Linked DNA regions of Drosophila melanogaster. The protein of the gene in region 3 purifies or fractionates together with the protein of the main gene of each other region. This does not show direct contact. Each region holds a gene or a part of one and is shown on either strand. Other genes may lie near its edges.

The links.
Region 1: the proteins of RanGAP (region 3) and cert purify together in Drosophila melanogaster (affinity purification with mass spectrometry, with the first as the bait; one large-scale study listed by BioGRID). This does not show direct contact.
Region 2: the proteins of RanGAP (region 3) and AIF purify together in Drosophila melanogaster (affinity purification with mass spectrometry, with the first as the bait; one large-scale study listed by BioGRID). This does not show direct contact.
Region 4: the proteins of RanGAP (region 3) and Sk2 purify together in Drosophila melanogaster (affinity purification with mass spectrometry, with the first as the bait; one large-scale study listed by BioGRID). This does not show direct contact.

Annotation. Positions count from the first base shown.
Region 1 is NT_037436.4:8,283,465-8,292,373, reverse strand, and holds the start of cert (ceramide transfer protein), read left to right. Parts: upstream 1-2,503; 5' UTR 2,504-2,661; intron 2,662-2,890; 5' UTR 2,891-2,925; coding exon 2,926-3,204; intron 3,205-4,153; coding exon 4,154-4,546; intron 4,547-4,616; coding exon 4,617-4,765; intron 4,766-4,999; coding exon 5,000-5,060; intron 5,061-5,904; exon of another isoform or gene 5,905-6,181; coding exon of another isoform or gene 6,182-6,247; intron 6,248-8,080; coding exon 8,081-8,305; intron 8,306-8,369; coding exon 8,370-8,601; intron 8,602-8,759; coding exon 8,760-8,909. Other genes in the region: CG7201 (uncharacterized protein), read left to right, coding at 629-980, 1,049-1,460, 1,517-1,790.
Region 2 is NT_033779.5:2,149,037-2,156,233, reverse strand, and holds AIF (apoptosis inducing factor), read right to left. Parts: upstream 4,481-7,197; 5' UTR 4,200-4,480; coding exon 4,088-4,199; intron 4,002-4,087; coding exon 3,769-4,001; intron 3,572-3,768; coding exon 3,290-3,571; intron 3,232-3,289; coding exon 3,129-3,231; intron 2,953-3,128; coding exon 2,703-2,952; intron 2,639-2,702; coding exon 1,824-2,638; intron 1,762-1,823; coding exon 1,337-1,761; 3' UTR 1,129-1,336; downstream 1-1,128. Other genes in the region: CG15382 (uncharacterized protein), read right to left, coding at 1-451; Tbcd (Tubulin-binding cofactor D), read right to left, coding at 4,781-5,386, 5,439-5,905, 5,973-6,392, 6,454-7,197. UniProt on the Drosophila melanogaster protein: Probable NADH oxidoreductase. Mitochondrial effector of cell death that plays roles in developmentally regulated cell death and normal mitochondrial function.
Region 3 is NT_033779.5:19,439,468-19,448,432, reverse strand, and holds RanGAP (Ran GTPase activating protein), read right to left. Parts: upstream 6,475-8,965; 5' UTR 6,178-6,474; intron 6,095-6,177; exon of another isoform or gene 5,706-6,094; intron 5,601-5,705; exon of another isoform or gene 5,130-5,600; coding exon of another isoform or gene 4,886-5,129; intron 4,803-4,885; coding exon of another isoform or gene 4,582-4,802; intron 4,522-4,581; coding exon of another isoform or gene 4,383-4,521; intron 4,325-4,382; coding exon of another isoform or gene 4,006-4,324; intron 3,941-4,005; coding exon of another isoform or gene 3,814-3,940; exon of another isoform or gene 3,683-3,813; intron 3,482-3,682; 5' UTR 3,248-3,481; coding exon 3,148-3,247; intron 3,089-3,147; coding exon 2,407-3,088; intron 2,337-2,406; coding exon 1,835-2,336; intron 1,758-1,834; coding exon 1,581-1,757; intron 1,525-1,580; coding exon 1,195-1,524; 3' UTR 1,116-1,194; downstream 1-1,115. Other genes in the region: Top2 (topoisomerase 2), read left to right, coding at 1-290, 372-695; Hs2st (heparan sulfate 2-O-sulfotransferase), read left to right, coding at 3,814-3,940, 4,006-4,324, 4,383-4,521, 4,582-4,802, 4,886-5,129; CG10237 (uncharacterized protein), read left to right, coding at 7,712-7,769. UniProt on the Drosophila melanogaster protein: GTPase activator for the nuclear Ras-related regulatory protein Ran, converting it to the putatively inactive GDP-bound state. Trans-acting factor necessary for meiotic distortion.
Region 4 is NT_037436.4:3,043,858-3,050,659, reverse strand, and holds Sk2 (sphingosine kinase 2), read right to left. Parts: upstream 3,574-6,802; 5' UTR 3,471-3,573; coding exon 2,494-3,470; intron 2,015-2,493; coding exon 1,006-2,014; 3' UTR 501-1,005; downstream 1-500. Other genes in the region: CG32485 (uncharacterized protein), read right to left, coding at 1-121; scramb2 (scramblase 2), read left to right, coding at 3,909-4,023, 4,444-4,937, 5,529-5,687, 5,791-5,814; Prx4 (peroxiredoxin 4), read right to left, coding at 6,705-6,755.

The DNA.
Region 1 (8,909 bases), on a different chromosome or scaffold from region 3:
CTCCAAGCAAAGAAACCAGTTGAAAATATGAAAATCGAGGGGGATGCTTCGAGGGGAAATCTAGTTGAGAATGCAGAATGGGGTGAGCGATTTAGTAGGTGAGTCCATGTGTGCGCCACAATTGCTGTTATACAACCGTTGTATAATGATGGCCATTAGGCCAGTCTTTTGCCAACTCAATTGCTAGGCGGTCGAAATTGGAATGGGACTCCGTGTCTAGTTGAGTTTGTTGCCTAAGTCTTTTGTTTGAGTTTTCACCTCTGCAGGAGCAATCAAATTAGTTACCCATGCTGCCTACTTACTCCCAGTGAAAATAAAGTAATCAAGGATCTCCATTATAATAATGATCAATCAATCATTTGCACTCTAATCACTATTATCAGCATCTAATCATTATTATGACAGCATTCAATGGATGTTCAGCAACGAGCTTGGAAAAAACTATTTAATACGAGAATATCTAAAAACTAAAGTGTTATGTTTGAGTTATGTTGATCTTATCTTTAAAAGCCTCTAACTTATGAGCTGTGTTTACTTATTAGACCATAATTTGTCTGTAAAGCTGTTTCTCCACCTTTGCAATAACAATTTTTTATTACCATCTCAGCACTCATCACTCAACGTGACCATGGAGAAGGTGTTAAGGCGATGCAGTCGCCTGCTCCTCCTACTGCTGCTGCCACTTGTCAGCTTGTGTCCAAATGCATTGGCACTCAATCGACAGGCGGATGCTGGCCAGGCTTTGGATATGGCAGCGCAGCTGGCGGATGCGGAAGCCGAAGCCAGGCCGGATTACGATGCCGATTCCCCGGATACGCCGCACATACGCAAGAAGCGACTCATCTGGATTACGGATGATGGCAGATTGGCCCTGCCGCCGGGCACTTCGCTGACATTCGTGCCAACCATTGCCATGCCCCTGGTTCGGCATCCGCCCGAGGGATTCTTCTCCAACCTGACCATCAGTTTTCCCGTCACCAGTGCGTAGACAGCTCTCAATGTCAATGATTAATCAATTAACTCTGATTTTTGTTGCCTCAATCCACAGTTGACTTCGACAAACTGGGCCTGACAGACAACCAAAATCCTCTGGGGGATCTGCCGCCGCTGTTCGCCCGCTCCTTTGGTCACGAGGCAGGCCACATGGTTGGTGAATATGTGGCGAGGTATCTGCATGTCCAGCGCAGGAAGAGGGATCTCAGCGAGCAGCGGAGCAGAAGCAACGAGGATCATCCCTTTAGGATACACGAAGAGGGTCCAAAGTATCCGGAGCTGCCAGCCGGACTGCAGCATATTTTCCATGGCGGAGAGCGGGTTTTGCTCTATGGCGTAGTGGAGGACTTTCTATCCACCTTTGGCATGGATGGCAAGGCCTGTTTGCTGAGAACCATTTGTGAGATGCACTCACGAAGTTTGGAGAAGTTCGGTGTCTTTGGAGAAATGACAAAGCTATTTTTAACGTGAGTAATTTCCTCCTTTCAATCGTGATTCTTTGTTACACAGATCTCTCTTATAGGGTAACCAAATCTCCGTTTTCCGACCTGGTACCCGACTATGTACAAGCCCAGGAGGTGGGCGAGGGAAAGCAAGCACCAGGAGAATGTTTTCCCTACTTCAAGGACTGTCCGAAGAGTATATTTAAGGCCTTGTCCAGCAAGTATAGCAAACCAGCTCCTGCGAGCAAGACGAAAAAGACAAAACCCACAGACAGACCGGTGGGCGAATATCATGAGGAGCAGGTCATTCAACTGCCCACCACTCGGGATCAGGACAACAATGTGTATATGTAGAACAATGACCAACTCCCATGCGAACCCCTATTGTTGACCTCGTCTAGATGTTAGGATTACGATTGAGTTGAGCGCGTCCTCAAAGTCACTTGCTTGTAATTAACGTGTACTAATTAATTTATAATTATTTATTTTATTTACGCATTGTATTTATTGTTAGTCGTAGGCGTTGTTAATTGCTTAGATTTGTATCCATGTTTGTCTAGTGGTCTGTAAATAATTGAAATTGTGGCATAATTCCTTCCTTTCAACAAATGAAAACGTGTCGAATGAATAGAAAATAAATTTCCCTTGAAAGGTGCTTTATAATTGTTTTCATTCAAATAACAACTTACGGCAATAATGGCCAAGATATGTACAACATTGCGTTTTTAGATTTAAACTGGCGCCAAAAACGACAACTGCCTGCATTGCACAGCACTATCAGCAGTTACAAATCAAAGTTTGAAACCAAATTAAAGTGGTTACACTGGCAGCTAGATTTGGGTACTCTCCATGTTTTTGTGAAAGTAATATATGAAGCAAAATAATACTTAACGGTACTTAGTGCTCGGTTTGTAGTTATGTAATTACTTAACTAATTGCTCATTTTAAAGGGAAGATTTAAATTCAAATTTTGTGTATTTATAAGAAGAAGAAAAAGGCACTTCTGACAACTATCGAGAGTAAGACATCGATAGCGTAACGACTTATCGAAGGAACCGTCGGTCGTCAGACCATCTCTAGGTCAGCTTTGTTTTGGTTTTGCAGCGAAAAAAACATCAGCGTCGTGAGTTCTCTTCGCTTATTTACCAAGCCTCCCACAAACAAGCCAGAGCATTACGTGTTGCACAGATGTTTGCGGATCGTCGAGGAAATCAATAAACGAAAGGTGAGTGCTCCTGGGTGGGGGCCAGCTGGCGCTTCAGAACCGCGAAAAGGCGGTGCTGTGAGTCAGGCGATGCGATCGCTGATTGAATTGGATTATCACGATAGGAGCTCCCATCAAATTGCCAGCCGGCATTGTAGTTGTTTACATTGCGCGGACGTGGCGCAATATATTTTTAATCTTCTGCGGCAACCTGCTGATTAAGATACCCCCGAACCGTTTCATTGTATAGATAACTTGGCAGTTGAACTCCGGAGCTGGAAGAGGATGGACACGAACGCTGGGGAGTCGCTGGGAGCATCGCCGCCCTCGAGCAATGAGGCAGCGGCGGGATCACAGTCCCAGAGCGATGCCTCCGAGGAGGAGGAGTATCTGGACAACAGTATCGAACTGAGGGGCTATCTCAGCAAGTGGACGAACTACATCTATGGATGGCAGCCACGCTACATAGTCCTGAAGGATGGTACACTCTCCTACTATAAATCCGAATCGGAGTCGGATTTCGGGTGCCGCGGAGCCATCAGCCTGACCAAGGCCACCATTAAGGTAGGACGGCCGAAAAGAGAGAGGGTGGAGCTCCTTCCCCAAGTGCTTTCAATTGGACTAATAAAAAAGTAATGGGCGTGAGTGTGTGCGCATGTGTTTGCGACACATTAACCAACGATGACCGCGACCTGAGGTCTCCGTTTCCATTCCCAAGCCAATACACCCATTCCCAATCCAATTCCGAGCGACGCAATCAATGCAGCGCAATCAATTAACGTTGGGCGACCAAAATAGACCAAAATTGAAGTCATCAATGTAAGTGGGGTACCCCTCAGACCTAGGCGCTGCTAGAAGGCCTTCTGTTGACAGGAGGGCGTGTTGTTCTAGGAGGGTGTTTCGCCATGAGTGTGTACTTATCTATTTATACTGTAGGAGCTGCCAAAAGCATATACACAATGCTGACTCACTAGAAGCGGCCCTTCCATTCATTCGCCTTGACTTTGCGAACACTGATCTTATTCAAAGATATTGAAGCCTCATTTAGTTCAAAGAATTTTTCCCAACAATCCAAATAATAATTATCACCGATTTAATCGATCATGATTGGATTACTTGGATTACTTTACAGTGAAACCAGCTCACTTGTAGTTTAAGTTACTAATAATTGGATTTATTTGCAAGTGATTCATTTAAAATTTTAATTAATTTTCACAAATTTCTCTTAGTGTTTTGACTCATTCAGGTTCCACTGTAATTTCCATTTGCCAACAATAATCTTGTATTCGGGTGTTTTCCTTGTTGATTTCATGTTTACCACTGATTTGCGTTCCGCTATAATCAACCATTCAAAGTTAATTAGGTTTTTTTTTCGTCGAATTTATTGTATTTCGTTTTAATAACTGGCTTATTACTGGCATGAAATTTTCATTTAAAATATAAGTAAGATAAACCGTTTATTTGTACCTATTTTGTGCCTTTTACTAAGTTCAAGTTTATTTTTCTTTTGTAGGCCCATGAGTCCGACGAGCTCCGATTCGATGTTGTGGTGAACAACTTAAATAACTGGTGCCTGCGGGCAGAGACCAGCGAGGACCGCATGCACTGGGTGGATGTGCTGCAGCTGTACAAGGCGGACTCCGGCAGCACGGACACCACTTCCTTGCGCCGCCATGGCAGTACCATGAGCCTGCAATCGAACACTATCTCGCTGACCAGCGGAGGAAGCCTAAAGAAGACGCAGCGCAACCTGCGCGAAAAAGTCGGCGAGCTGGAGACCTTTAAGGATATACTATTTGGACAGATCGAGACTCTGCAGCGATACTTTGATGCCTGCTCGGAGGTGAACAAAAACAATGCGCAACCACTGGACCTGGGCGACGGTCTGAAGTCCATCGATTTCAAGGTAAAGTAGTGCACTTATCGGGCCATTGGTATATGTACAGTGTACTAAGCAAAACACTCGATTTTCTCAGGGCGAATCCATCACGTTTCGGGCCACAACGTCCGGCGTGCTAACCACCCTGCAGCATTGCCTAGAAATCATCGCCGAGAGCGATGAGTCATGGAAACGGAAACTGGAGCGTGAAATAGATAAGCGTCGACGTTCTGAGGACCAAAGCAAGTAGGTTGACCTAGTCGGAATAGATTCCTACAAGAAGAAGCAATTTCAATTACCTTTTTTGTATTTGCTTGAAAACCATACGTTTCTTTAAAAATTATCATGCTATTTCATGGTTTAATTTATTTAAAAAAGGATTAATAATGTATTTAAATTTAATGTGTACATTCATTTCTGAAGTTTATTCATTTAAACGATATTAAAACTATGGTAAAATTCTATGTTTCTTCTTTGCAGAAAGCTCAAGGATGAAGTTGAGAAAATGAAGCGTCTATCGTATCCTGGCCCAGATTTCGAGGTGAGTTCAAGTTTACAGCTCTCGTAAAAGCAAAAGCGTAATCGCATTCACGGTCATTGCTGCTCAAATCGGGGCCAAACACGTTCCCACTGAAAATGCAAACAATCGCCGAATGAGTGGCGCGAAATTCGTATAAACGATTTGCGTGCGATTTGTCGGCGTCTTAAAATAAACTGCCTGATTCGACGTTGTGTCAGAGATTTCATCATATGCAAGGAAAGTAGAACACGCTGGACTATTATTCAAGCGTTTTCAATTCGATTATGGAATGCCAGTATTTGGTTCCGAATTTTGGCTGACACGAAGTTCCCGTGTTCGTGTTAATCTGGAATTGGTCATGCAATATCGTTTTTCCGCTTACATTTGTTTGCCCAATCAATTCCATTTTAATGGCATATGTCCACAATAGCATTAGAAAAATGATGCTCTCCTACGAATTGTAAGTGCTCAACTTGGTTGTTATTCTTGGCTCGGTTACTTGGCGACTACTCAGGCTGAAAGACTGGGCGTCTAGACGGTTTCATTAGGCCTGTTTGACAGTTGGGCGTAGCTTAAGATCTACTTCGAGCCAATATTGCAGATATTGACGTTGAATAACGATCCAACCGTTGGCTAGAATGCACTTTGTGCAACGGGTATATTAACTATTACGTCTTCAGTGATCTTCATATGAAAATTTTGTTAGAAAATCCCGATTTAAGTGAACAATATATAGTAAACATGTACGTGATCTTTCACTATACGTTCAAGCTTAGAGCATTCAATATGCGGCTCACTTTTTGAGCTGTGGCTTTTAGCCTGGCTTACAGCTGTCAGGTTTATGGCTTATGAGCTAGGCTGGTCAGTCGGCGGTTAGCGATCGAGTGGCCAACACGTAGCAATTATAAACAAATTTGCTAGGCAAACAATTCAAAACGAGACTGTTTCTTTTTCATATTGGTCGTGGCATTTAATTGAGTGTGCAGATTGTGAAATTTCTTGCGTTGCATTGAAAGAGCTATAATAAATAAACAAGTGTACACAATTGTAGCAATCGCTAGTTCATGTTGCAAATATAAAAGCGCCGCACGCATCACTGTACAAATATACAAATTTATAAAATTATAAACAACGTCAACGCTATGCCCTCGGCGCGATTTCTGTGGCGCTCCGGCGGATTTCAGAAGGGCAGCGTTAAAAAAATAAAGGTACACTGAATTAAAATCATAAATAATTTACATAAAGGAGTGGTGGAATATATTTTTATAATATGTGTTTCGTATGGAAATATTTCAAGGCGTATTATCACTTTTATAAACAATAAACGTTTCAATATATCTCCAAATAAAATTTGATAACACTTTTAGTAATTTTGAATTTTTTTTCTATGTGCATATATAGCTGATAAAAAATATTAACAAACATCGTTGTGTTTTTGAAAAATTTCTAATCAGCTATGAATGTGGAATGTCAAATATTTTTTTATTATGATAAAAGTATTAGTTCGGAAGCATTGCTTTGATAAAATAATGGTATTTTTCCTTAGTGTATGAAATGTTGCCTAAAATAAGTTTCATAAAATGTTGATGTTGGTTTTTTCTAACCAAATTGGCCTCATTAGTGGGCCACCCCACTCGCTTTTGAATGTTGAATGTTTGAAGTGCGGTGGCCAAAGAACCCCAAGAATTGATTTATTATTTAAATGCAAGAAATCCTATCCATTGGAGCTTTTTGCTCTGTGCGCTTTTCGCTTTTTACTCTCAGTCGCCCGCTTTCTCCTGCTCTCTTTTTTTGGCCTTCTCTCTGCTCCGCTCATCCTGGCCAAGTTGGCCAGTGCGTTTGGGCCACCAGCAACAGTTTGTTTTGTGTCCTTGTGCTCGACGGAAGGATTCGCCAGGACACAAGTGCGCTCACTTTTCCTGCTTTCGCCTGCCACGCAACCCTTTCTCTCTCTCTCTTTGGCTCTCTTGCGGTGCGATTCCTGATTTTTTCCTGCTGAGAAGGAGCCTAATTTTTGCCGCCCAAAAACCTCTTCGCTTTTGTTGGGTTCAACTGCAACAATTGGTGGAGGAGCCTGGTAAGAGGAGACATAGCGACGCCACAGGAATAAGTACGCATATAGCCCATGTCTTCATTGTTGGTTAGCTGCGAGTGCCGCTTGGTCAAGATGATTATGCACTCGAATTCACGCCGCAGGGTGTATTTATTTCACCGCCTTTGGCTGCGCACATCTCTGCTTTAATTAATAAATATCAATTCAATTCCGCACAAATTCCATTCGAGGCATTTATTTTGCGCCGGTTGCCGTTCTGGGGATACACGCGCCAGTCGCAGACGTCAGAATGTGTACAGTGAACACTGGCTAGCACAGAATGGAGCGGATGTATACCTCTAAAGGGCCGAACTTCAAGGGACACTTTTCCTATATATCAATCCTAATTTCAGCATAATATTCTAAATACTCTCAAAATATTATGATTTTGTTTGTATATTACAGTAGCAATTTGGTAAACTCTGTTGCGAAATTCGAAACACATTGTTAGGAGGAAAAGAATTTTATAAATGGCAAATTTATCAACTTAATTAAATTTCGGCAGTATTATTGTGTAGCTTATTGGTGGTTTTTCCCCACGAGATGCCACTGCTTTAATGGGATTCAGTACCAAGTACCAAGCCCCGTCTGGCGGTCTTCTGCTTTCGTATTCATGGCACAATGATGCGCCTTTGTGTCCATTATGCTCGCCCAATTACGCATGCCAGCCGACTACGAGAATCTCCGCCTGGCGACTGGTCAGGGTATGGAATGGGCGAAAAAACAACAGCATAAATTTGATTTTCTTGGGCCATTTGGCCGCACAAGTGTCGGCGATTAATTTATACAAAGCACGTTCCATTTCTTTCCAATTGGATTGAATGCGGTTTCGTCATTAAAATTAATTAGGCCGAACCTTCAAAGATGCTTTTGGGCTAAACTTGACTTAGTTTGCTCGATGCTAATGGAGATATATGTATAATATGACATTTCCCTTTCAATTTCGCAGGAGGGTCCACATTCCACATTGCCCGAGGATGAGTTCTTCGATGCGGTCGAAACGGGCCTGGACAAAATCGAGGAGGACATGCAGCTGCGCTTCAAGCTTAAGCTGCAGTCCCAGATCTCCCAGACACTGGTCAACGTTCCACACGAGGCGGTGGCCGAGGGCGAGGAGGCGCGCGAGGAGTTCGGCACGGGTGCGGAGGCCACCAGCCATGCCCTGTGGCCGGAGGTAAGACCGGAAATTGCCAATCTGGCCCCCTAACGACCAGCCAATAATTGGATTTATCCCGCAGATCGATCGCGTGTGCAAGGAGCAACTGCATTACGCACGCGAGGGCGTTGGCCAAGACGGCAACGGCTGGCAAATCTTTGCCGACGAGGGGGAGATCAAAATGTACAAACGCGAGGAGGAGGTCAACGGGCTGGTCATGGATCCCTTGAAGGCCTATCATACGGTGCAGGGCGTGACGGCGAGGGAAATGTGCCATTACTTCTTCATGCCCGAGTTCCGAAATGACTGGGAGAGTAAGTAATTGCAATAAACTGGGTTTTCCCTCAATTTCTTTTGGTTTAAAGCACGCTCAAAAGAAACAGTGGCGTGCGCATAGATAATTCATAATTTTCTACAAACAACTCACATGTTGCAGCTATACAACTTGTTGCTTAAACTTTTTATTCTATAGCCACTTTGGAGGACTGCACCATCCTGGAAAAAATCTCGGCGGACACCCTGCTTTTCCTGCAAACCCATAAGCGGATATGGCCGGCGAGCCAGCGTGATGCGCAATTTTGGTCGCACATGCGCAAGATCACAGACAATCTGGAGCCGGGCG
Region 2 (7,197 bases), about 17 Mb from region 3:
AAAACTCTCGAATCATATTTCTGCAGGACTTAAGCAAGGTCCTGTTGCAGTTTCGCTCCTTACTGGGAATTGGAGTCCTCGTCTTGGCCTTGACTATCGACTTGTTGCTCACTGAAGTCTCGGATTTGGCCGGAGTCAGGGATCTGCGGAGGATGTGCGATGGTATGGAGCGCTTCTTCAGCGGCTGGCTGGCGACTGGCGGACGAACAGTCTGATCTTTTGGCGTCGTGTTGTCAGCAACTGCCGGCGGTGGAGTCGGGGAACAGGACTCCGTGTAGGTTATAATGTTATTGCACACTTGTCGATCGTATTGGTAGCGGAGCAACAAGAGAGCCGCAGCCGCCTCCAGTTCCAGAGCACTGTGGTTGGCCATGGCTACGTCGGCTGCGTCGGAATCTCTTACTGGCGAGGGAGTCGCCTGTTTGCGTTTATTCAACATGCGGTACTTCATGATTAGACTGTCGAGAAGGAACTGATGTCCTGCTTGTCTCAGGGCAAAGTTTATATATCCCAAGGATGTACCTGCTTATGGGCCACCCGTTCTCGGGCTCTACCTACCAATTGGTCGGTAATCCGAGTGGCCCTAATAAGTAACCACCTTTGGCACAAGAAGTCAGGTAGGATCCTACTTCAGCGAAAATAATATTTCGCGAATTTTATTGATCCTCGCTATATTCAGCTAATCCAGCCTAAAACCCTAAACCAGGTGCTCGTCTTTTATAAGGCAGATGGTTTAGTCAAATTCTGGGAAAATTCCAAAAAAATATGTACATTTAAATTCTGTGCCGTTGTGAGACAACTCGGACAATAAACAAATGGGTTATATGATTGAAGTAAAAAAAATAAGTTCCAAAGTTCCTACGATTTATTTAAATAAGAATCAAAGCAAAATCTCTTAGGATTAGTTAAATAACGGGTGCCTCAGGATCAAAAAGCGGATTTTTCAACACCGAAAATGAATAATTTGAACAGTTTAGTTGGTACGGTGAATTTTTTGTCAACAACTTTCTGGTGCTTGGTTTATTACGAAAGTTACACACAATTCAACAGAGACCCGCTTGTCTACGACTTTTCAATATTTACACGGAGATATGCACTTTGCTGCTACATAACCGAATCAATGTCGTTGACTACAAAATAAGGTTTATTCCAAAAATAATAAAACTAAAATTTCTGTTGCATTGCGTCATTGCCGTTCGTATCTAGTTGCAGTTGCAAATGTACACAGTAAACACAGTTAAAGGCATTCGGGTTGGATAGGTTCTGTTCGGTGCGTGCTGATAAGCATATCAGGGTAGCCAGATCTTCTCCATGGTCCCTCGGGACTCGCTGTTCTCTACGCGTGAATCTCGAACAGTTTGGCCACCTCATTGAGGTCATCGTACTTCTTATTCTGATTGATTATTGTCCTAGCTAAGCCTATCCGATTGAAGAGGTTCCACAGCAGGATGCCGACGATCTTGTCGTTCTTCAAGTAGAATATTACACCCTTGCCATAGTTGCCCGCCTCATCGGGATCACAGGTAACGCCATCTTGGCTAGCCCCGGCATCAGATTTTGACGACTGGCTGGAACTCGTACTGGTCTCCGGCACGTCGGAATCACTAGACTCAGACAGTTGGTCAACGCGCGTGGCGGATTCCGAGGGCAGGGCGAACACACCAACGGTGGGTAGCGAGGAATCCACCAAGCCAATACCCTCGTATCCGATCTCTGGACCTAGATCGGACCAAAACATGCTCTGATGTTGATAAGGTTTCTCTGCAAAAGGTACGGCGAACATTATGATCGATCGGTTATTAACTTTAAGCCCAGTAACTTACTTGCTCCCGTCATGTTCTCGCCGGCCAGCCGACCAGAGACCACCGAGTGATCATGGTGCTCCACCCGTCGCCTGCCCAGCAGAGGATCGAAGAAGCAGGAAGCATCACCGGCCACGTACAGGTTCCGCCTGGCCTCCAGCTCTGCATTAACCACAAAACCGCCGAGACTTCTGTCCACCTCTAGCCTGCTGGGTCCCGCGAGATCCGTGTTTGGCGTGCAACCCACGCAGACCACCACCACGTCCGACATCAAAGTCATTCCATTGTTTAACTCCAACTTTAGATTGGTTTCATCGCGAACTGCCGAGCGAATGCTGGCGTTGGGGATGACGCAGACACCCTGGGCTTCCATCTTTGCCGTCGTCCAGCGACTCAAGTAGTTTGGAAGGACCTTTGACATGTTGGCATTTTCCTGGAACACCTGGTACACTTTACCGCCATTGTTCTCTCTGGAATAGTGTGCCAGGGAGCAGGCCAGTTCACTGCCGATAAATCCATTGCCAACAATTGTGATTGAACGCTTTTCCGCCGCCAATTTGCGGAGGCGATCAAAGTCATCGGGTGTGCGATAGACCATTACTTTTTCGAGCACGCTGGGCGGAGCATCACGCAGCATGGGCAGGTTCTTGGGGGCACAGCCGGTGGCAATTAGGCATTCGTCGTAGCTTATCTCGTAACCGTCGTTCAACGTCACTATGCGTTTTTGAGCGTCCACCTTCTTCACAGAGAAACCTTGAGCGACGGCAATCCCTCCATTTGCATTATCATCCAGATCCTCGGGGTCAATGAAAAACTCATCCGGCTCAAAGAACAAGCTGTGAACAGGAAGGGAATAACTTAATGGGTTTCAATTATATAAAAAAAGTTATTCAGACCTACCTTCTCTCGGATCCCGTCCATTGTTTGAATCGATAGTCCTTGATGGGATCCTCGTTAGGATTGGGCGTATACCACAGTTCCTTGGACAGTGGGGGGCGCATGTAGGGTTTGCGGAACTCGTTGCTAATCATTAAAACCTTGGCTGTTGCATCGTTAGACTTGATGGCTCGGAAAGCAGAGAAGGCAGCGGTTCCGCCGCCGATAATCAGGTACGGCACATGCTTGGGAAGGTCCTCAGAACTGGGCGGACCTGCGCATAGAGAGAAAGTGATAAGTTACCTCGGCCTATCTTGAAAATTGTTGTAATTATTATCCAATCATGATGATTTTGAGGTATGTATAAGATAATGCTTATCTGAATCAGTTGGCAAATGTGGTTTAATCTAGCCTACCAATTCAAAAATCTATGGTTTTCGCTTTACTTACTCGTGGCTAGTCCAGCAACTAATCTACGTTTTCGTTCCTCCTCCTCCGCCTCGGCTTTTTTGGCTTCACTGTCATCCGTATCCCGCGTCATAAACCAAGCGAGCTATATGATAGCAAAGTAATTAGAGAATATTTCCTTTAGATATCAGATCGAAACATACAAATCCTCCGGCTAACAAGGCAGCCAGGGCACCCAAGAGGCACTTAAGCCGTAGGTCCTTCATCCGACACTCGCACTCCTCGTCTCCACCATCACCGCCACCGGGAGCAGTACCATCCTCGTCGCAGGGCTGGCAGGTGGTCTCCTTTCGTTTGCGCTTGAATTCCTCGCAGGGACTAGTCGCTTTGCAGGAATCCAGGACGGGTTGGCTGGTGCTGAGCTTTGCACTGTCCGACTTTAACACATCCTTAGCACTGCAGACGGACTTGACGTCAGCAAAGCCCTGGAAATTGATTATATTGTTTAATATTTGTTAATAACTCTGCAAGTCTTTGATGGGGATGCAAACTGGTTTCTGTTTAATAACCCAGCTATGTTTTCGCTAGTTATCAATTTCACAAGGCTTGTAGGAAGTTAGTTTGCATCCCCAACTTATCCAGCTAATGCAAATGGATGGTGAATGGTATGAACGATGGGTACCACTTTAAAGAGTGGCTCCGATTGGGAATGGGCTTGAAACTGGGCATTGGCGTAGGCGGGAACGCCGGCTCCCTCCACCGCCGTCTCGTACTCTTCAACGGGGGGCGTGGTCGAGGGCTTGGTGACGCAGACTTGATGATTTGGATATTTGTTGGCTTGCAATTTGGTGCGCGCCTCAAGGGTGCGTTTCTTTACCATTTGATAGAGGCTGCTGTGGGCTGGCCGAAGAGGAGCTGAAATCGACGTGAATGCTAGTTAGTTATCGGCAAAAACATGAAAACACGGATCGGTTTGGCCAGCCGGCCATAACCTCACTTACCGTATGCCGGCGGCGAGCGCTGCGGCACTGGACCCAATAGCCTTCTGTTGGCCAGGATGTACGCCTGCCGGATGAACCTCTGCGTCAGACATCGGACCCCCCAAATACTCATCGTGATTTGCACTGGCTGCGGAGTAGGTGACACCACAATCCACAATTGTGTAACGTAACAACGTTGTGCGGCGAAAGAAACGTGTGTTTTGCGAGTTCGTGTTTTATTTACAAAAAAACCAATTTCTATGACAAATTTCTCCGTGTGAAGTCCGGCGGTGTTTAATTGATCTCGACTCCTTTATCCCTCCTTGCTTTTGGGTAGTCCGCGTTTAATTTATATTTATTTTTCATTCCCTCGCCTGTCTTGTTTTTTTCTGTCTCTGTCGCAGTGTGACCGTCGCAATGAAATGGGAAATGGCCCAGCGCCTATTCGAAATTATTTGGCTTGAAAATAGCCACTTTTTATCAAAAAGTGTTCGTTGGTTTTTGAAATGTTGAACAATATTTAATTTATTTTGAGCAAGTGAAATTTTAAAATCGAACTTACAAGCTCTTTGTTTTGAAAACGATAAATATTAAAAAACATGTTAAAATAAAGATGTGCTTCCAAAATAAAGAATAAAAATTCTTATGAATACCACTTATGTATGTTGTCAGTACAATTGTGCATTAATATATATTAAATACATGTGGGAACATTCATTTATCAGCACTCGCTTGCTGCAAAGCGGCTGCAGCAGCTGCTCCACTTACGGGAGGCTTGATGTCCATTAGTTGGCACAACTGGTTCCGCAGCGGACGCACCTCCACCAGCGGCTGGGTCCAGTCCGTTTCGGAGAGCAGTGTTAGGATCTCATCCATATTCTCCTCGGGCACTTCGGTGACATCGCCGTGCAGAGCCAACGCTTCGTACAATTTTGTGGCAGCGGTTTTGCGAACGTGGACGTGCTGCAGTCCAAGAAATACTGAGAGCTTGGAGAGGATGCGTTTAGACAGGCGAGGAACCTGGAGCAACTGGCAAAAAGCACTGATGCTGGTCGCAGTCTTGTACAGCTTCTTGTAGCCCTTAACCTCCAGGTTGAGCAGCCTAAAGATATCCTCTGCAAAGGGATTTGCTTCATCGTGTAGAACCGATTCTACAGTTCCGGAGCCAATGAGTATATCCAGGAAACTGAGCAGAGGATAGGTCACGCGCTCGTTTAGTAGATGCTCCTCGAAAATCTGGACCACCTCGGAGCAGAGACGCGGAACAGTCTCAGGATTGGAACGCAAGAAGTGGAATAAGGCACTGGAGGCATACTTGATCTGCAGGAAGAATATTTTAGAGATTGATATAGAGGTGGTCTATACAACTTACAAGAGATTCAGTCAGTTGACCAATGCTGGCACTCAGACCCAAAAGAACTCTTTTAGAGTAATCCGGCAGAGAGAGCAGCTCGCAGAACAGCGGGAATGTGTGATCGGCAAATAACCAAAGTACGGAATCCGCATCCGCGGGAAATATTTCCAAGAGTTTTGAGTGCTCCCGTATGTAGGGGATCCTCGGCTGATGATGGATCAGTTGGCAGCAAAGGCGACCACCTAATCCACGAGTGCGATCGATCTTCTCCACCGCCTGTTGCATAAAGCCCACGACAATCTCATGCACTTGCTCTGGGGCGAGGAGATCAGGCGGACACGTAGTGACGATTTCGTATAGCGATGACATAGCCGCCTCCCTCACCCACGCTCCGATGTCACCACGGTTGTCCAGGGTGTACTCTTGAAGAGCTCTTAACAGGCATTCGATAACCTTGTTAAAGTTTTTCGGCTCAGCAAATGAGTCTGAAAAAATAATTGTATACTAAGATTTGTTCACATTCTTAGCCCACAACTAAGATCATTGACTCACCAATTCCCCCTCCATATCCCACGGTCTTCACCAACTTGGTCAAGGCCAGCACGCTCTGTGTCCGTGCCTCGCTCCACCTGTATGCCTGGATGTTCTCGCGGTCACCCATTTCACCCACCAGAACTGCTTGCAGTGGAGTTAGGGAGTGCTTCACCAGACTGTCCAATATAGCCTGCAGATGACAGCGGATCATAAAGGATGGGAGCACACCCAGAGCAGCAATGTAGCCCATGCGAATGTGCTCCTCCAAATCGTTATCTGCACCTGTTAGATAAGTGTTGATTATGGCTTCGTTTTCCCCGTGCCTGGAATCTGAGCAGTAATAAGTGGTACAGAGTTCACCGAACGCTTCCACCGCACCATCCCGAATAGCGTTTGATTTGGTGATCAAACAGGAATCGATGACTTTCTGCCAGGAAACTGAAACGAATAAACGCAATTAAATAATATGCTTGTTATACTTTAGGGACTCTTTTCCTACCCAAGCACTCCGGCGTAGCCTGCAACTTGGCCAGACTGCAGTTCTTTATGTAGCTGCTGGTGCAAGATTTCATCAGGTCGCCGCTCATTCCGCGATAGAAATTTTTGTCTAGGAACGTTATTATTAGTTCATTCAGCTCCGCAACCCGTTGGTTGGAGAGGTAAACCACTTGGGGATCACTCTTTTCCTCTAGTTTCCGTAGGGTCAGTGTTATTTCTCCCATGGCTAAGACACAACCATGCCGGCAGTTAATATCGATGGTGTCAGTTTTTGCCAGCAGTTGCGGCAGCACCACAGCGGCCATGTACTCGGGCTCCCAAAGGGATAGTTTGTGCAGGGCTTTGGCTGTCAGCTCCCTTATAGCCGAATCCCAATGGCTTACCTTATGCTGAACTAGATGGTTAATCAATGGTTCCCTGTACACCTCAAACTGTGCAATGTAGTCACTGATGTTTAGATAGGAATTCTGCCTGATGCCCACGGAATAGAAGTCCGTCGTGGTGGAGATTTCGATTCCGAAGGGAAAGTTGCCCAGGCGTCCCACACTTTCCTGAAAAGCTGCCGAGGCAGCCCGCCTGCAGTTCACCTCGCGGTCGAACACTGCAACGGTCAGCAGGCCAGATGAGATTTTGTGCACAAATGGCTTCACATCATCCGGATTGTAAGCCCTGGCAAATGCCCAGCACATGTAGCAGGCTGAATCTCGGATGTGTTGCCCCACCGACATGTAGCCCTTCATCTCGT
Region 3 (8,965 bases):
TGGCAGCGGCTGCCAAGGTAGCTCAGGCGGCTAAGGAGCCGAAGAAACCCAAAGAGCCCAAGGAGCCAAAAGTGAAGAAGGAACCGAAGGGCAAGCAGATTAAAGCCGAACCTGATGCCAGCGGCGATGAGGTGGACGAATTTGATGCAATGGTCGAGGGCGGCTCTAAGACCTCACCCAAGGCCAAGAAGGCGGTTGTCAAGAAGGAGCCGGGAGAAAAAAAGCCGCGCCAAAAGAAGGAGAACGGCGGCGGGCTCAAGCAGAGCAAGATTGACTTCAGCAAGGCCAAGGTAAGTGTTTCAGTAATTGCCCATATTTGTTTTTAAACCCAAATCTGTATTTAATTGTCAATTAATATTTTTCATCTTTAGGCGAAAAAGAGCGACGATGACGTGGAGGAAGTAACTCCTCGTGCAGAGCGTCCTGGACGTCGACAGGCCAGTAAGAAGATAGACTACAGCTCGCTCTTCTCGGATGAGGAGGAAGACGGTGGCAACGTTGGCTCTGATGATGATGGCAATGCCAGCGATGATGATTCGCCCAAGCGTCCAGCTAAGCGTGGACGAGAGGATGAGAGCAGTGGAGGAGCCAAAAAGAAAGCTCCGCCCAAGAAGAGGCGAGCTGTAATTGAAAGCGATGATGATGATATCGAGATTGATGAAGATGATGATGATGATTCTGATTTTAATTGTTAAGGAACACATTTCCACACAGGATATTGATAGAAGATGGACTCTTAGAATCAGCATTATCCGCATCGAGAATCTCGAGGAGGCACTTTTTTTTGCGGACTTGCTCGCCACGATCGTTCGTTATTTTATAATCTTTCAATGTTCTCCTCGATGTTAACGTCAATGTTTTATAATTCGTGTTTTTATTAACTATAGATAAACACTTCGCTACATTCGTTCACTGTAGCTGATTCTGTTCCAGAGCAGCAAGAAAGCCACCAAGAGGAATTTACAAACGTAATATCGATGTATTAACATGTTCCATAAAGATAGTTTGTAGTCTCATACGAGTTTTCTTCATGTAAATAAATCACTTTTGCCGAATGGCTAATACATTAAATTTCGATTGGTTTTTTGGGTAAAAAAAAAACACCACTACGGGTTAGGAATAATACGTTTTTATTCGCGAAAGCTACACAAATCGGAAAGTGGGAAATAAAGGTAATCTCTTCTCTAATTCTCTTTACGACTCCGCACCCTCCAGGAAAGTCTTAAAGGAATTCTTAATGTTGTCGTTGGCAAACGTTGGTTGCTTGAGAGCCTCGCGAAGAGCAAATCGACAGTTCTTGACATCGTAGTCCGAATGGAATACCTCCTTGCAGGGCAACAAACGGAGCTGCATCAGTACATAGTTGAGTACACGTGTCTCCTGCTTTGTCTTGATGGCATAGTCAAAGGTGGCCTGGTACAAGGAGACGGCCAGATCCAACGCAGCTTTCGAGGATTGCGACAAATGCGCGCACTTCAAGGTGGTGAAGACGAGCAGTAGCAAATGGTTGTCGCCGGTGAATTGCTGTACAAAAATGTTACGTTACTCTAATTGCATTCTAATTATTGAGAATATCTTACGTTGACAATCGACTGCAAAGCCTCAAGTTTGTTATCCATATCTAGCGAATCGAAATCTTCCTGGGAGCAGGGTTTCTGGCTCAAACAGAACTTCTCTGGAGTGCATTTTTGGCTGATCGTCTTGTTCGCGACCGCAAAAGTTTCGCTGGCCATCGAGTTGGTTGTGTCGTTAAAAAGCTGTGAAAATTTAAAATTAAAGATAATTCGATTAATTGCTGTTACCATTTGCACAGTACTCCGAAGTATAAACTAACCTTGGTCGTGTAGGCATTCGTAGTGACATAGGCAGTCTCCTCCGCGACGTTGCTGTACTCCTCGTCTCCCTCGTCTTCCTCGTCGTCCTCGTCGCCCTCGCTATCCTCATCTGCTTCTTCGGTAGTATCGTTGGCGTGCTCGTGTACTTCCTCTTCCTCTTCGTAATCTGCGTCCTGCTTGTCAGCCTGGTATTCATCTTCCAAATCCTCCTCTTCCTGGTGCTGAAACGGTTGCAGTGCGGCAGCAGTTGGCAACTTACTCATCTCGCTGATTATCTTCTCGCTGCCTTCTTCTCCAAAGCTATTGCCATCTAGATTCAAGATGCGTAGCTTGGGCTTGTTTCCCATAGCATTCACCAACACCAAGCCGCCGTCGCTGTTGATTTCGTTAAAACCTAAGTCGATAACTTCCAGTCGTTCGTTTCCTCTCTCCAGAGCCTCACCGAAGTGGTAGGCGCCATTAGTTTTGATCAGGCAGTCTCCAAAGCTCATTTCACGCAGCCTGCAAAGCAAAAAGATATCACATAACACTCACTCACTCTCCCTCATCAAAAACTTTATAACCGACTCACAGTGGCAAGAAGGGAAGAGCCTCAGCTATTTTTTCAGCTCCCTCGGACTTTAGAGTATTGTCGTTCATGTTTAGCACTCGTAGATGAGGATTATGCTTGAAGGATTCGGCAAGGGCCTCGACGCCTTCGATGTAAATGGAGTTTTGCTCCAGAACAATCTCCTCGAAGGTCTTGAGGGTTTGGAATGCGGTTGCCATTTCCGTAGCACCGGCATCCTCGAGACGATTGCGCGAACCTATGAACACACGCAGCTGGAGCGGGAAGCCCGCCTTGTTGGCATTGGCATGCAGATCGATCAGAGCCCGGGACAGCATACTACCGCCCTCGGGACCAAGGCCACAATTGCACAGCAGCAGCTCCTGCAGCGAGTAGCAGACCGGGGATCGCAGTAACTCCTCTAAGCCTCGCATGCCATTCGGTCCTAAGGCATTGTCGCTGAGATCCAGGACTGTCAGTTTGGCGCCCGCGACAATTAGCGCGGCTCCCAGGTGCTTGAGTGCCTCCGGAATCTCCGATATGAGACGACCAGTAAACATGTTCTTCCACAGCGCCTTCCGAAACTCTGGATGACGCTTCAGACCCTCACCAATCGCCTTGGCGGCCTCAACGCCCAGTGTGTTCCCGTCCAGATTCAGATAGTGCACGGTGGTCTGTTTGTTAAGGGCATCCACCACATCCTGGACTGTAAAAAGCCTCAATATAGCCACTGCATGGAGTACCCAAAGCGTCACCCAAACTTACCATCGGCAGCTGTGTTCCAGGAAAGCACCTTGTTCTCGAATGATATTCCCTGCTCCTGGCCCAGTTGGGCGGCCATGCTGGCGAAGTTAAAGGTGGACATGCTTGCTTTTAAATGGAATTATTTTATACGAGTGTATATAAGTCGCACTGTACTTTGCGATTGCAGCCGGCTTGCGAAATTTATTTTAACCTCGCAAAAATGGGCGCTAGAATTTTGGCATTGCTTGGTATTATTTGCCGGCAAGGGTGGTCACACTAATAAAAACAGTGATGCTCAAGGCAAAAGGGTTGCTGAAGGGTGATGCAGATCTGGTTGTGACTGGCCTAAAATATTCTGTGTTGTGTTTTAGGAAAAACATATTTATTGAAGTTATAAATATAAGGCAATTAATTTACGGATTCCTAGCTGGAAATTAAATGCAATTATCCGAGCTAGCATTTTGAGCTATTTTCCATCACTAATTTAGTCATCTCAGCTACAGCTGCACATTCCCACAGATTCACCAGATTTCAGTGCCTTGCAGCACTGTCCAGCAGCTGCTGACCAACACTGCTCGATGTTGGTTGCAGAAAAAAAACAAGGAAAACAACGACCTGAGATTATGCTGAAATAAATACGCTGATATGAGCTACCGTGCTGACCTGTAGGGCAAACCGACACGAGGCATGTTTAGGAAACTGCTTAAGATGTGGATTCTGCTCCGACCCACCCACTGGCTGATCCTGATAGCCCTGTGCGCGGTCACCTGTGCAGGTTACTGGTTGCTTTGGTCAGAGATTCGCCTGGAACATGGTAAGTGGAGTCCGGTAGTTAGGCAAAACCATATCACTTTTACACCCATTACCTACTTTGTGCAGCCTTCAAGCCGCTTTCCAAGCTGGGCGATTCTCTGAGCCCAGATCAGCATGCCTCGTCCACCACCGATGACTTTGACTTCGAGGAGCACCTAGTGGTGCTTTACAATCGCGTACCGAAAACGGGATCCACCAGCTTTGTTAACATAGCATACGATCTGTGCAAGCCCAATAAATTCCATGTGCTGCACATCAATGTCACTGCCAACATGCACGTCCTCTCGCTTCCCAATCAAATCCAATTCGTGCGCAATGTTTCCAGGTGGCACGAGATGAAGCCAGCTCTTTATCACGGCCACATGGCCTTCCTAGACTTCTCAAAGTAGGTAACATCTAGCCAATCCAGCAGAGCCCGTCTCAATTGCATTACTCCTTTGCAGATTCCAAATCGCCCACAAGCCCATCTACATCAATTTGGTGCGCAAACCGCTCGACAGACTTGTCTCCTACTATTACTTTCTACGCTTTGGCGACAACTACCGACCGAATTTAGTCCGCAAGAAGGCGGGCAATAAAATTGTAGGTAGAGCATCAAGGTATTAACCTCCCTGTAACCAAAGCCCTCACACATCTTTGCAGACCTTCGATGAGTGCGTGGTGCAGAAACAACCCGACTGTGATCCCAAAAACATGTGGCTGCAGATACCCTTCTTCTGTGGCCATGCAGCCGAGTGCTGGGAACCCGGCAGCAGTTGGGCCTTGGACCAGGCCAAGCGCAATCTAGTCAACGAATACTTCCTAGTCGGAGTCACAGAGCAGATGTACGAGTTTGTGGATCTGCTCGAGAGATCCCTTCCAAGGTGTGCCTCCCAACCATATGTTATTGTCTGTTTTAGAATACTCCAGTTGCTTCATTGACCTGTTCTTTTTTTTTCTTTTGCAGAATTTTTCACGGCTTTCGTGAGCACTATCATAATTCAAACAAATCTCATCTGCGGGTGACATCTTCCAAGCTTCCGCCCAGCGAATCGACAATTAAATCCATTCAAAAGACAAAAATCTGGCAAATGGAAAACGATCTGTACGATTTCGCGCTGGCCCAATTCGAGTTCAACAAGAAGAAGCTCATGCAGCCGGACAACAAGCACGTGCAGAAATTCATGTACGAGAAGATTCGGCCCAAATGATTGCAGAGGAGGCGACGGAGTCGCAGAGCGAGGATTCGGCCGACTCCAGTGATCTAACCAGGAGTCTCCGACAATTGTATTGTAAATACGTAATTCTCCTTCGCATAGATTTGATCTGTACTTAAGAGTAACTCATCCGTACACTTAAGCGCTACCTAAGACTTTAGCATTGAATATCGTTGACATATTACTAACCCAAACCTTTTGTACGTAGTCTAAGCTTTAAACGTATAAAACAGGCGAGAACGCTTTTGTAGTTCATCGTAAGCAATATCTAGCAACAATTGTCTGCACAATATCTCTATATGATTAGTCAAATGTACGTTTTATACTCGACAATACAACGGAATGAATGGATGAATTGAATCGATATGCATACGTAGAACTAGAAATAGGTGTAAATTCATATGTAATCGACTCTCATTGTTTGTAACTCTCATAGGCTAGGCCATAAATCTGAATTTGACATTCAAATTAAATGCATGTAAATACCTAATAGATAATGGAGTGTCTGTCCGTCTGTCTGTCTGTATGTCCATGTGAAGCGCGCTGTGCGTATCAACAGCTGTCGCTGGGATTGCGTGTTCGTAAATTGATTAATGCCATCAGTGGGTTACTTTTAACTTTCAGCGTTCTGTACTTCGACTTAGCTAATTGCACTTGGCTGCCCAACGAAATTCCGCCGGACTTTAAAGGCTGACGTAGCTCCGTGCTCGAAGGTGATCGTCTGACTGGAGGACGGAATGACCGAATGGCTAAATGGCGGAATGGCGGTCCGACACGCAGAATGGGCTCAGGCAAGCGCAAGAAATGGCATGGAAATACATTTGGAAACGGCGAGCAGTGAAATACTTAATTAATTGCTCGTGCTTGAAACTAAAAGCAAATGAGCTCGAATTACCCACAGCCCCCGTCAGTCAGTTGATCACTTGATCGTGGAACGCGGACACGCCAGTCGAAAGAAGGTACATTAGCTAGTGTCCGGCAGAAAAGCAGAAAGTTACTGTTGTGTCGAACGGGAGGAGTGATAGCCAAAGCAATAACTTACACACTTACGATCCGTAAGAGGGATTACAAACTCGTTTTTCACTCAGTCACAGTGGCGAAGGCGATTAGTCTTTAAACTACTCGTGTACGGAGCGTTCAAAAGTTCAAGTCTAATTGCATCCAAGTCGCGTAACCATCAGAAGATTAACCACGATACACTGTGCGAAACGCTCAGAACACGCACTTAATATAAATATATATACATATATAAAGCTGTGCCGCGATTGCGAAAGTGCCCCGATGCTATATAGCTAACTTAAAAATTTCGTATTTTGCGACGAGAAATGAAAATATTCCTTCGTTTACATTCTAGAACAAATATAGGAAGTGGACTTTTCGCAAGTGGCAGATGAGAATTTCTCGAAAGTGCTAAACAGTACAAGTTACAAAGTGTATATAGTTACAAAATATAGCAAAGTGGATTTCCTGATAGAAAGTACGGATTTTTTCAATAATAATAATAATAACTATATTGTTTTAAGTCAAGAACATTTCTAAAAGTGCACACAAAGTGAAGAAAGTTCTTGAATTTTGTAGTACTCACTTACTTTCAGTGTACCTTCTGCAACATTATATTTAATAATGTTAATTGCTGTGGAAAATCGATTGAGTGCGCTGCACCGTGAGAAATACCGCACTTGTCTTGGCACTTTAACGTACTAAAAACAATGGAAATAACATAAAATTAATGCTGAGCTCAGTGAACCATTTTCAGGTGAACTTATGCAAAACAAGCCAAAAAAAAAAAAGAAGATCCCATGCGGCGATTCGCGACGTGATCTTTAGAGCTCTTAACTCGAATCGGTCGCTTATAATGACCTATTAAGTCGCGCTGGCCTTACGAGTGCCCGACTATTCCGACCGACCTATGTATATATCTTGATAACTATAACTTTGTCGTACAATACATATGTGCAATGCACGCAGTGCATAAAAGGGGCGGCTATAAAACGATTTGACAAGCAGCTTTGTATTTTCAGTCTTCAAACGCGACCCAAGCTCACTAGGTACATATATCGGAGTCGAACGGGAGTTCCGAAGGATTTCCACTGTACCAGCCAACTATTTGTGGATTAGCCGATTTTCAATTCAAACAAGGTGAGTAATTGGATCTCATATATACATTTGTATATATATATACATATAGAGTGCTTTTCTTTTTAAGAGTGCATTTCTGAGTGTGTAGCGCTAGGGACCATAAAAATATCTTAGCCAGATCACCATCACTATCACTATGTAGCTACGCTCAGCCCTTATTTACGAGGCATCACTGTCTGTCCGTGTTTTTTGCATTGCCTTTTGCTCATTACTGTTGCATGCATTCCCCCCTTTCGCACTCGTCGCTCGAGAATTTCAGACAAAGTTCAGTAACTCGCCGACGACATTGACCCATTTAGCCACCGCCGATGCTCCCGACTCGATCAGCCTGAATAAAGAAATATTAATTTATTTACATACGCTAGCATTTGCATGTGCATACCGGTTTAGTTAGTTGTAAAGTAACTTGTGTGTGTATTCATTCGATCTGCATCGCCATGACCATGCTGACCACTGCATCTGCGATGAGGTGCCTGCCCTCTGAATTCCCACTTGGTGAGCAATAGCGAAATCTGCCGAACCCCATTTTTTATCGTATATTTATTGCAAGTACTATATGCATTTTCTTAGAATTATCTCCCTCAAATAGAATTATTTTCTATATACGTACGTATGTATTTATATAAGGCGCGTGGCTACAGTTGCTCGAAAAACTATACACCAGTTTGTTAAAAACTTATATACAGTTGTGCTGGTAATTGAAAGTCACGATTAGTTCGAGAAAGAGTATTTAAAAGGTATTCAAAATATAAATAATTTAAAAAAAACAACACTTTTTGCAATGCCTTTTGATATGCCATCTAAATTGTTTGGACATCAAGCGAGTATTCATGTAACAATCCATTTGTTCGATGTCAGTAATATCTACCGACTTGTACTTTTTCCATCTCTTGAGTAAGGTCAAAGCACTTTTGCTTTTGAACCGCCATTGTCACGTTCTTCAAAAGCAGGTTTCTCATGCAGGGTTTTTAACACGCTTTTTGCAAAGAAAAAACCGAAGGGCGAAGGTTGACATTGCAATGGGTCGTAACCCCAGAATTACTCATATTACTCGCTTCAAGTTTTTTCCATATACTCGCAGCTTTGTACCACCCAGTTTTCGTCAGCATCCGCTTCGAGATGGCCAATAAAAATTGACCAAATGACCGAAACTGGCCGTAATGAAATCGAGAGTATCATCGCAACGTAAATCCGTATCCATGAATGGCCGAAGTCTTCGCACGTGCGATCGTGCGATTGAACCGATTTGTCCAAAACCGGGCGGGAACCATTTGCTGTCCACAACGCAGAGGGTGCTCGGCTTTGGGACGTGTTAATTATACCAAATATGCCTGGCTTAACACATGGGGCTGAGAAAATAGGGACATATGATATGACATGGTGATGCGGTGTCATTAGATGCGATCTTATGATCTATAACTATGATCTATAAATAGTTGAAGATGCTTTCAAGTGTCCAATGTTTGTGGTCTCCAACAAATTGCTAGTGGGGTGACCCCAGGTGTAGGTACGCCGAACAGGTGTAAGCACTAATTGGCGTGTAGCTGGGCAGCATTGAAACCGGATGGCTATGCACGGGCACGGGGCTTCAGGGTCGCGATGGGAAATGCCTATGCCAAGGGATTTTCAAGAGCCCAATAGTACTGTGGGCGATTACCCGAAGAAAACCCGAATAAATTAGGCAAGTCCAA
Region 4 (6,802 bases), on a different chromosome or scaffold from region 3:
AGCGACGCAGCGAAAAGTCATTGTGATACTGCTTTGGATCCGCCTCCACAATCAATTTCATGCGCTCCTTGAGATCCTTGAAGTCCTGCTCGTTAATTGGCGCCAGCTCCTCGGACGACATATTGTAGAGCACGAATCGCTTCCTGACCGGAATGCAGACTGGGATTCCGTGCTGGAGAGTCGCGGACTGGAATCGGAATGTGCTGACACTATGTGAAATGCAAGCAGCGCTGTTTATTTTTACTCGGAAATGTTTTTTCACAAACGGAACGGATTTGTTTTTTTCTTTTTTTTCGACCAGTGTGACCGGCTGAAACTCTCTAAAAGCTGTCATTTGCGTTCCACAACAATACTAAATGCAAGCACGAAATACCGAAAAATTACCGTTATTGGTTGGAACCGTTACATTTTAATAAAAGCTTTAATTGATAATAAATTTTGAAAAATATTTTAAACTATATAGTAAAGAGAAGAAAACAAATTGAAACAGAGCTGAAATTAGTTAACATTTTTATTTTTTATTTCAAGCTCAAAGATGTTATATTCTTAACTTCCTACTTTAAAATATGGAATTGTAAATGATTTAGCTCTGTTACTTACACTGTTACTTTCTAAGATTTTTGAATTCATGAAGATTTATTTGTATTCATCTTTAAACATTTTGAATATATATCTCATTTCGTTACACAGTTTAAAAAAAAAAAGAACAAAATAAATAAGACTTTCATCGCTATTTTGAACAGCCGAGATAAAAATAAATTCACGTGCACTTCATATGGCACACGTTTTATAAACAAACATGTTAGATATTTCGGAAATAGCTGTTATTGTGTTTAAAATGTTAACAATACATGATTGGTTGGCAGAAGCAGGCCACAAAAACACGAAATATGTAGAATGCACAACTCTCTCATATCGGCCACCTGGGACCCTAAGTATTAGCTACAAATGCAGAGATTCCAAAATTGAGATTTCTATTGCTTGATGGTCTTCAGTAAGCTCCTCCTACTTGGGCACCATGACGCGGGCTATGCCCGGCAGGACCTCAGCTTGGAGGGGCCCGAACTCGACGCGCTCGCCGTCGACCGTGATGATGCCGTGATTGTCGTAGGGCTCCAGGCGGAATGCTCGCACTGGCAGCACCTTCACATGGTCGTCGTGCGACTCCGGCAGGTGAGTGCCGGAGCTCATGTTGTAGAGGAAGCTCAGCAGGTGCGGGCGGCTGATGCCGGCGCGTATGAGGATCAGGTAGATGGTGCCGTCGTTCAGCTGGGCCTTGGGCGCAAAATGACAGTCGATGCCCAGATGGGTCTGGTAAACGGCGTGCATCATGACGAACTCGCCCTCCTCCACCAGCCAACCCTGATCCTCGGACAGCGGTTCGTTCAGATCCGGCAGCTCGCTTGCCGGACCGTAGTTCTGCTGCCGGTTTTCCAGCGAGGCGGCCGCCAGGCCGGCGAACTCGCTCTCATCCGCCAGACTGTGGTAGATGCTCTCCGATATGGAATAGTAAAAGCTGCGCCGCGATCCCCCCGACAACCAGCTGTCGCACCTCGAGCGGAACGACTGATTGATGGACGTCTCCAGGGAGATCACGTCCGCAAACTCCTGTGGCAGGTACTCGGCACTGGAATGATAGATGGGCGCCGGCCCATTTAGCATGTCGATGTGCGTGTTGCAGCTACGGCTGCTCTGCATTCTCCGCTGGGCAGCATAACCGGTAGCGCTATGGGTTGAGGACACCTCATGGTCCGTCAGAAGATAGCTGATTCGGCCGTTGTAGGTGCGCAGATTCACCAGACGGTAGAGGGTCCACACGGTGAAGCGCTGGTAGCCCAACATGCGAATGCGCTCGCTCTCGATGTCCACGTCCGAGATCAGACCCCAGCCGATGGACAGGAAGGAGTAGAGGGAGCGACTCTGCAGCTGCACCCGGACCACGTCCATGGGTGAACTGCGTCCACTGATTACGGTCAGAGCAGCTCCTAGCACTGGCTTGCTGAAGTATGGTTCGCTGGGGAGAAAGGTTTCAAGTGAATAGGTTTCAACACAAGACTGATAATCGGATTACGACCAATAGATCGGATATGAGACACCTGAATGTGGTTTTAAAGTCTATAAACATTCTTTTCTATTACCCTTTTTATACTCTTTTATCGGGAAGTTGAGCTATAGATGAACATAAAGAAAGAACATAAAGATTTCAAAGTTCGATGATATGCCACTAAATGTTGAACGAAATTGGGGGGCAATTACTTAACGATGTGGAAAGTTTGTTCTAGTCTGACGTCAATTTAACTTTAAGGGGATATCCCCACTTGCAAAACAACAAAACCATTTGACACGATAAGAAAACTACTTTTGCTTATGAATGTAATCTAATGATAAACTGCATGGCTAGACGCTGGAGGGATTGTTTTACACGAAATATGAAGATCCACATAAGTCAAAAGGGGGTTTTTCCTAATGAAACATGAAACAAAGATAACATACTTGTAACAATGGGCAATGGAGCGGGCCAATCCATTTCCGGAGCCGCAAGGAATGATTCCCAGTGCCAGATGAGGCAGGACGTGGGCCCAGTCCTGGCGCTGCAGCAGTCCATTGACTATCTCGTGGAAGAGACCGTCTCCGCCGACAGCCACCACGCAGCACCAGGCGTCCAGGCACCTGGTGCTCAAGAACTCGATGGCAAAGTTGGAATGCTTGGTTACATACAGGTCGTAGGGCACCTCGGCCTCGTTGAGCACCGGCGTCACGTGCATGTTGAAGACCTCACGAGCGTCACCGGAACCGGATTTGGGATTCAACAGCACAAGCACTCGACGGCGTCGCTCATCCACCGTCGGCGCCACAAAGATCTCCTCCAGCGTGCGATGCAACTGCCAGCGAAGGGATCTGTACCAACGATCCGCCTCCCTCATGTTGTCCTCGAAGGTGTCGAACGACCGGAAGCGCAGAGTGAGCACCGTTCGCTCCCGGTGCAACTCCGACCGCAGGCTCCTCTTCTTCAGAACATAGGCAAAAACGTAGAGAAACGCGCTGACATCGCCGCCATCCGAAGGAATATTATCCCGACTATTGGTGCTGCATTTGCTTGGTGTGGTGGCAGGGCGATGGTGATCGCCGGACGCCGAGATGGCTGGCGAATTGGGATTACCGGAGCTGCACGCACAGGCGCCCGACATCGCCAGGCGCCGGCTCTTCTTGGGCCGCATGCAGCGGGCACCCACAATGTCCGATATGCGGACATGTTGCTCCTTAACAATGCTACCGCCCGGCGACTCCCGCTGCAGGGTGAATCCTGTGGCGTCAAGGCGCACCCGAAATACGTGGCTGCCCTTCTTGCGCTGGCTCGTGTAGAAGGTATCGCTCACGTCGTGGCCCTCATCCGCATCCTGCGTTCCCGGGGGCGTGGCCCTGGAACTGGCCGAGCTCGGGCTGGTGGTCTTATCAAGAGATTCGCTCATTTCGACTGGAGATTCGGCTGCCAAGCAGCATGTTTCAGGTCTTTTGTGTCCAGGCTTTTATGGATCGCTTATCATCCAATCATAGCCGCAGTGTTACCGTCGGTGGCAGGCGCGAATATACCAACTGGCACAAATAAACTCAAAATTCTTAGAACTTAAAGAGGCTAGCTTAAGGAAACTATTGCAATACAATGCAATAATACAAATGAATCCACAAAAACGTCAGCTCATAACAAATTTAACTTGTCACTGCATTGAGTGCTGAAAGCTTTTTGTTGATATTTTTCTGTGTTCGAATAAATACCAAAATATATGACAGAATATTTCGTACGGTGCATTTGCGTTGCATTTTTCGGCGTTCGCAACGCGGTCACCCTGCATTTAGTGTTTTGTGAACTGTTAAAGAATCCGATACGAATTTAATTGCTGGGAATAACAATGATGCAGATGAGCGAGTACAAGGTGCTCCCGCAGAATGCACCGCAGGACGAGAATGGCGCAGTGGTCCTGCAGCCGCAGGCGGCGAATGTTGGCAACAATGCCAACGGACCTGGTGCGTAGCGATGGACATATATGGATTTGTCCACTGTTGAATTCCATCACTCGGATGGACCTAGTCGGTTGCGCGCGTCTGTGTGGGCTAGTGGGCGTGTGCGAAAGGCGGAAATGCCGTCGTCTCTTTCTTGGCATTTAGTACAGCAGCGGGCATGGCAATAGCACCCATAGTTATCTATGTAAAAAAGATATTTTATAATGTACCAAAAAGTGAAGTGATTCCAAGTCAATACGTAAATACATATTGTTTAAAATATTAGTTTATGTTAAGAACTGCTATCACTGGCCCTAATCGCCTGACCGCCATTGTAGCTATGCTAATTTCCTTTACCCATGCATAGATATCGGAAAAGCACTTTATGCATATAGATAAATATAAATACATAGGGAGCTAATCCGGAACAACGCCCCATTGCAGAAAACTGGATGTCGATACCCGTGGGCATGCCCAACTGCCCGCAGGGACTGGAATACCTGACCGCTCTGGACCAGTTGCTCGTGTCGCAGAAGATCGAGAAACTGGAGCTGCTCACCGGCTTCGAGACGAAGAACCGCTTCAAGGTGAAGAACTCACTGGGCCAGAATGTGTACTTCGCGTACGAGGAGAGCGACTGCTGCACCCGCAACATGCTCGGCCGGTCGCGCCCCTTCGAGATGAAGATACTGGACAATTTTCAGAACGAGGTGCTCCACCTGTACCGGCCCTTCAAGTGCGACATCCTCTGCTGCTTTCCCAGCTGCATGAACGCCGTGGAGGTGTCGGCGCCACCCGGCCAGGTGATCGGTAGCGTTGAGCAGGTCTGCACCTTCATGCGGCCCAAGTTCAACATCAAGAACACATGCGGCGATACCGTCCTGCAGATCGAGGGACCCGTCTGTCCCTGCAAGTGCTTCAGCGATACCAACTTCAAGGTCAGTACGCAGCCAACAAGTGGTTATTCTTGGCTCTCGATCTCGATTCCCAATGCCCAAACAAGTGTATACACACACAGCAGCGGTCAGCGGATTAGCTTTAAATTCTTCGGAGGAGTACATATGTATGGTCTTCATCAGTCAAAGACGAAGCTTTATAAAATTCCAAAATGAACAGTATCAGGCGTCCACTTAATTGCTTTTTTAATTATTAAACATTTATAAGTGCCTATATACATATATTCTAAATAATTATGAACAGACAGAAGCGTTCAAATTAATAGCACCCACACTAGTTTTAAATTTTCAATTGTATACGTTATTTAACAGATGCCTCTAGATATAGGAAAATCAATCAATCAATTTATACTTTTTATGGCTAAAATGCACCAAGTGTTTGTGCCGATCTATGAGCCCTTTTACTGACCGCTGCTGTGATCGTACAGAAGCAAAGAGACTGCAGTCCGAGGCAGTGACGTCATGGTTAGCCATGCCTGACTGTCCAGAGCGAGTCAATTAATTGCGATGCCGCGAACTGCGAACCGATTAATGCGAAACGCAAACATCTCTCGCCCCTTTAACCGCGCACAGGTATTGAGCGCCAACAACGAGGAGATCGGCAAAATCAGCAAACAATGGTCCGGACTGGGAAGGGAGCTGTTCACCGATGCGGACTACTTCAGCGTCACCTTCCCCCTGAATCTGGATGTCCGCATGAAGGCGCTCATATTCGCAGCGCTCTTTTTGATTGTGAGTATATCAGTATATCATATATATCACTGAGTGAAATAAAGCATATGCCAGTGCTATATACTCGTTTCCCTTCATTGATTTGTGTTTGTCTTAATTCCAGGACGCGGTTTACTACGAGCAGTAGGCTGTATGATGAATCGCATTCTAAAGGAACAAACGCCCAAACATTATAATCGCCGACTGCTTTTTGGTTCGACGTGTTGCATGGTCATAGCTCTAAGAACTTTTTAACCCCTTATTTGATTAACGTTTCCGGGAATCTGAACAGTGCAACGCTTTGATCGATACGGAATCTCCGCAGCAAAGGAATCTCCCGCACAACTTGGATCTGAACCGCAGTTGCACCTTCGTTATTTTATGAACCTCGGTTTTGGCATTTAAAGCTCACCACAATGAAGCACTTACTGACAAACGCACAAAACGGAAAACAGAAAGCAGACTACACACGAAGAATCCGACGAGAACGAGTGCCTTATGACGTCCTAGTTATTGTCGTCGCCCCCGTCCCGTTTCCCCAGATTTATATACCTCGACAGACCTAGCTTTGTTGTACGCATAGGTCGGAGCACAGGATAACTTAATTGCAACCATGGCGTACCTAACTAATTTACTATTACCTTTTACCTACTACATATTACATATTACATATATTTTTGTATGAAACTAATTGCAATCGAATTGTTACCCATTAGAGTGGCCTAGTGAGCCAGCTTTCAAGGCATTTTGAGATCGAAAACATCTCCTCCTTTTTGGTACCGCTCCTGTGGCGCCGCGCAATTTTCATCACCTTCACATGTACTTCATGAATTTATTTATATCTCAGTTATGCTGTAAAATAAACAAACTATGTTTTGTACAAAGCAAATGCGAAATATTCACAATCGGTGGCATTGCGGATTTGGATTTTCTGTACAGAGGACTCTAGCGATTGTTCGTTTGCATCGTGATTCAGTCGTGAACATTAGGAATGTAACTGGGCTAGGCTACTAAGGTAATGTGCATCTCTATCTGTCCCTAGTTGTTCTTGGCAAAGTACTTCGTCTTCTCCTCAGGATTGGGAACGATCTGTAAAGGTAATGGTATCAAAAAGAATTTACCTAAGGCAATGCTTC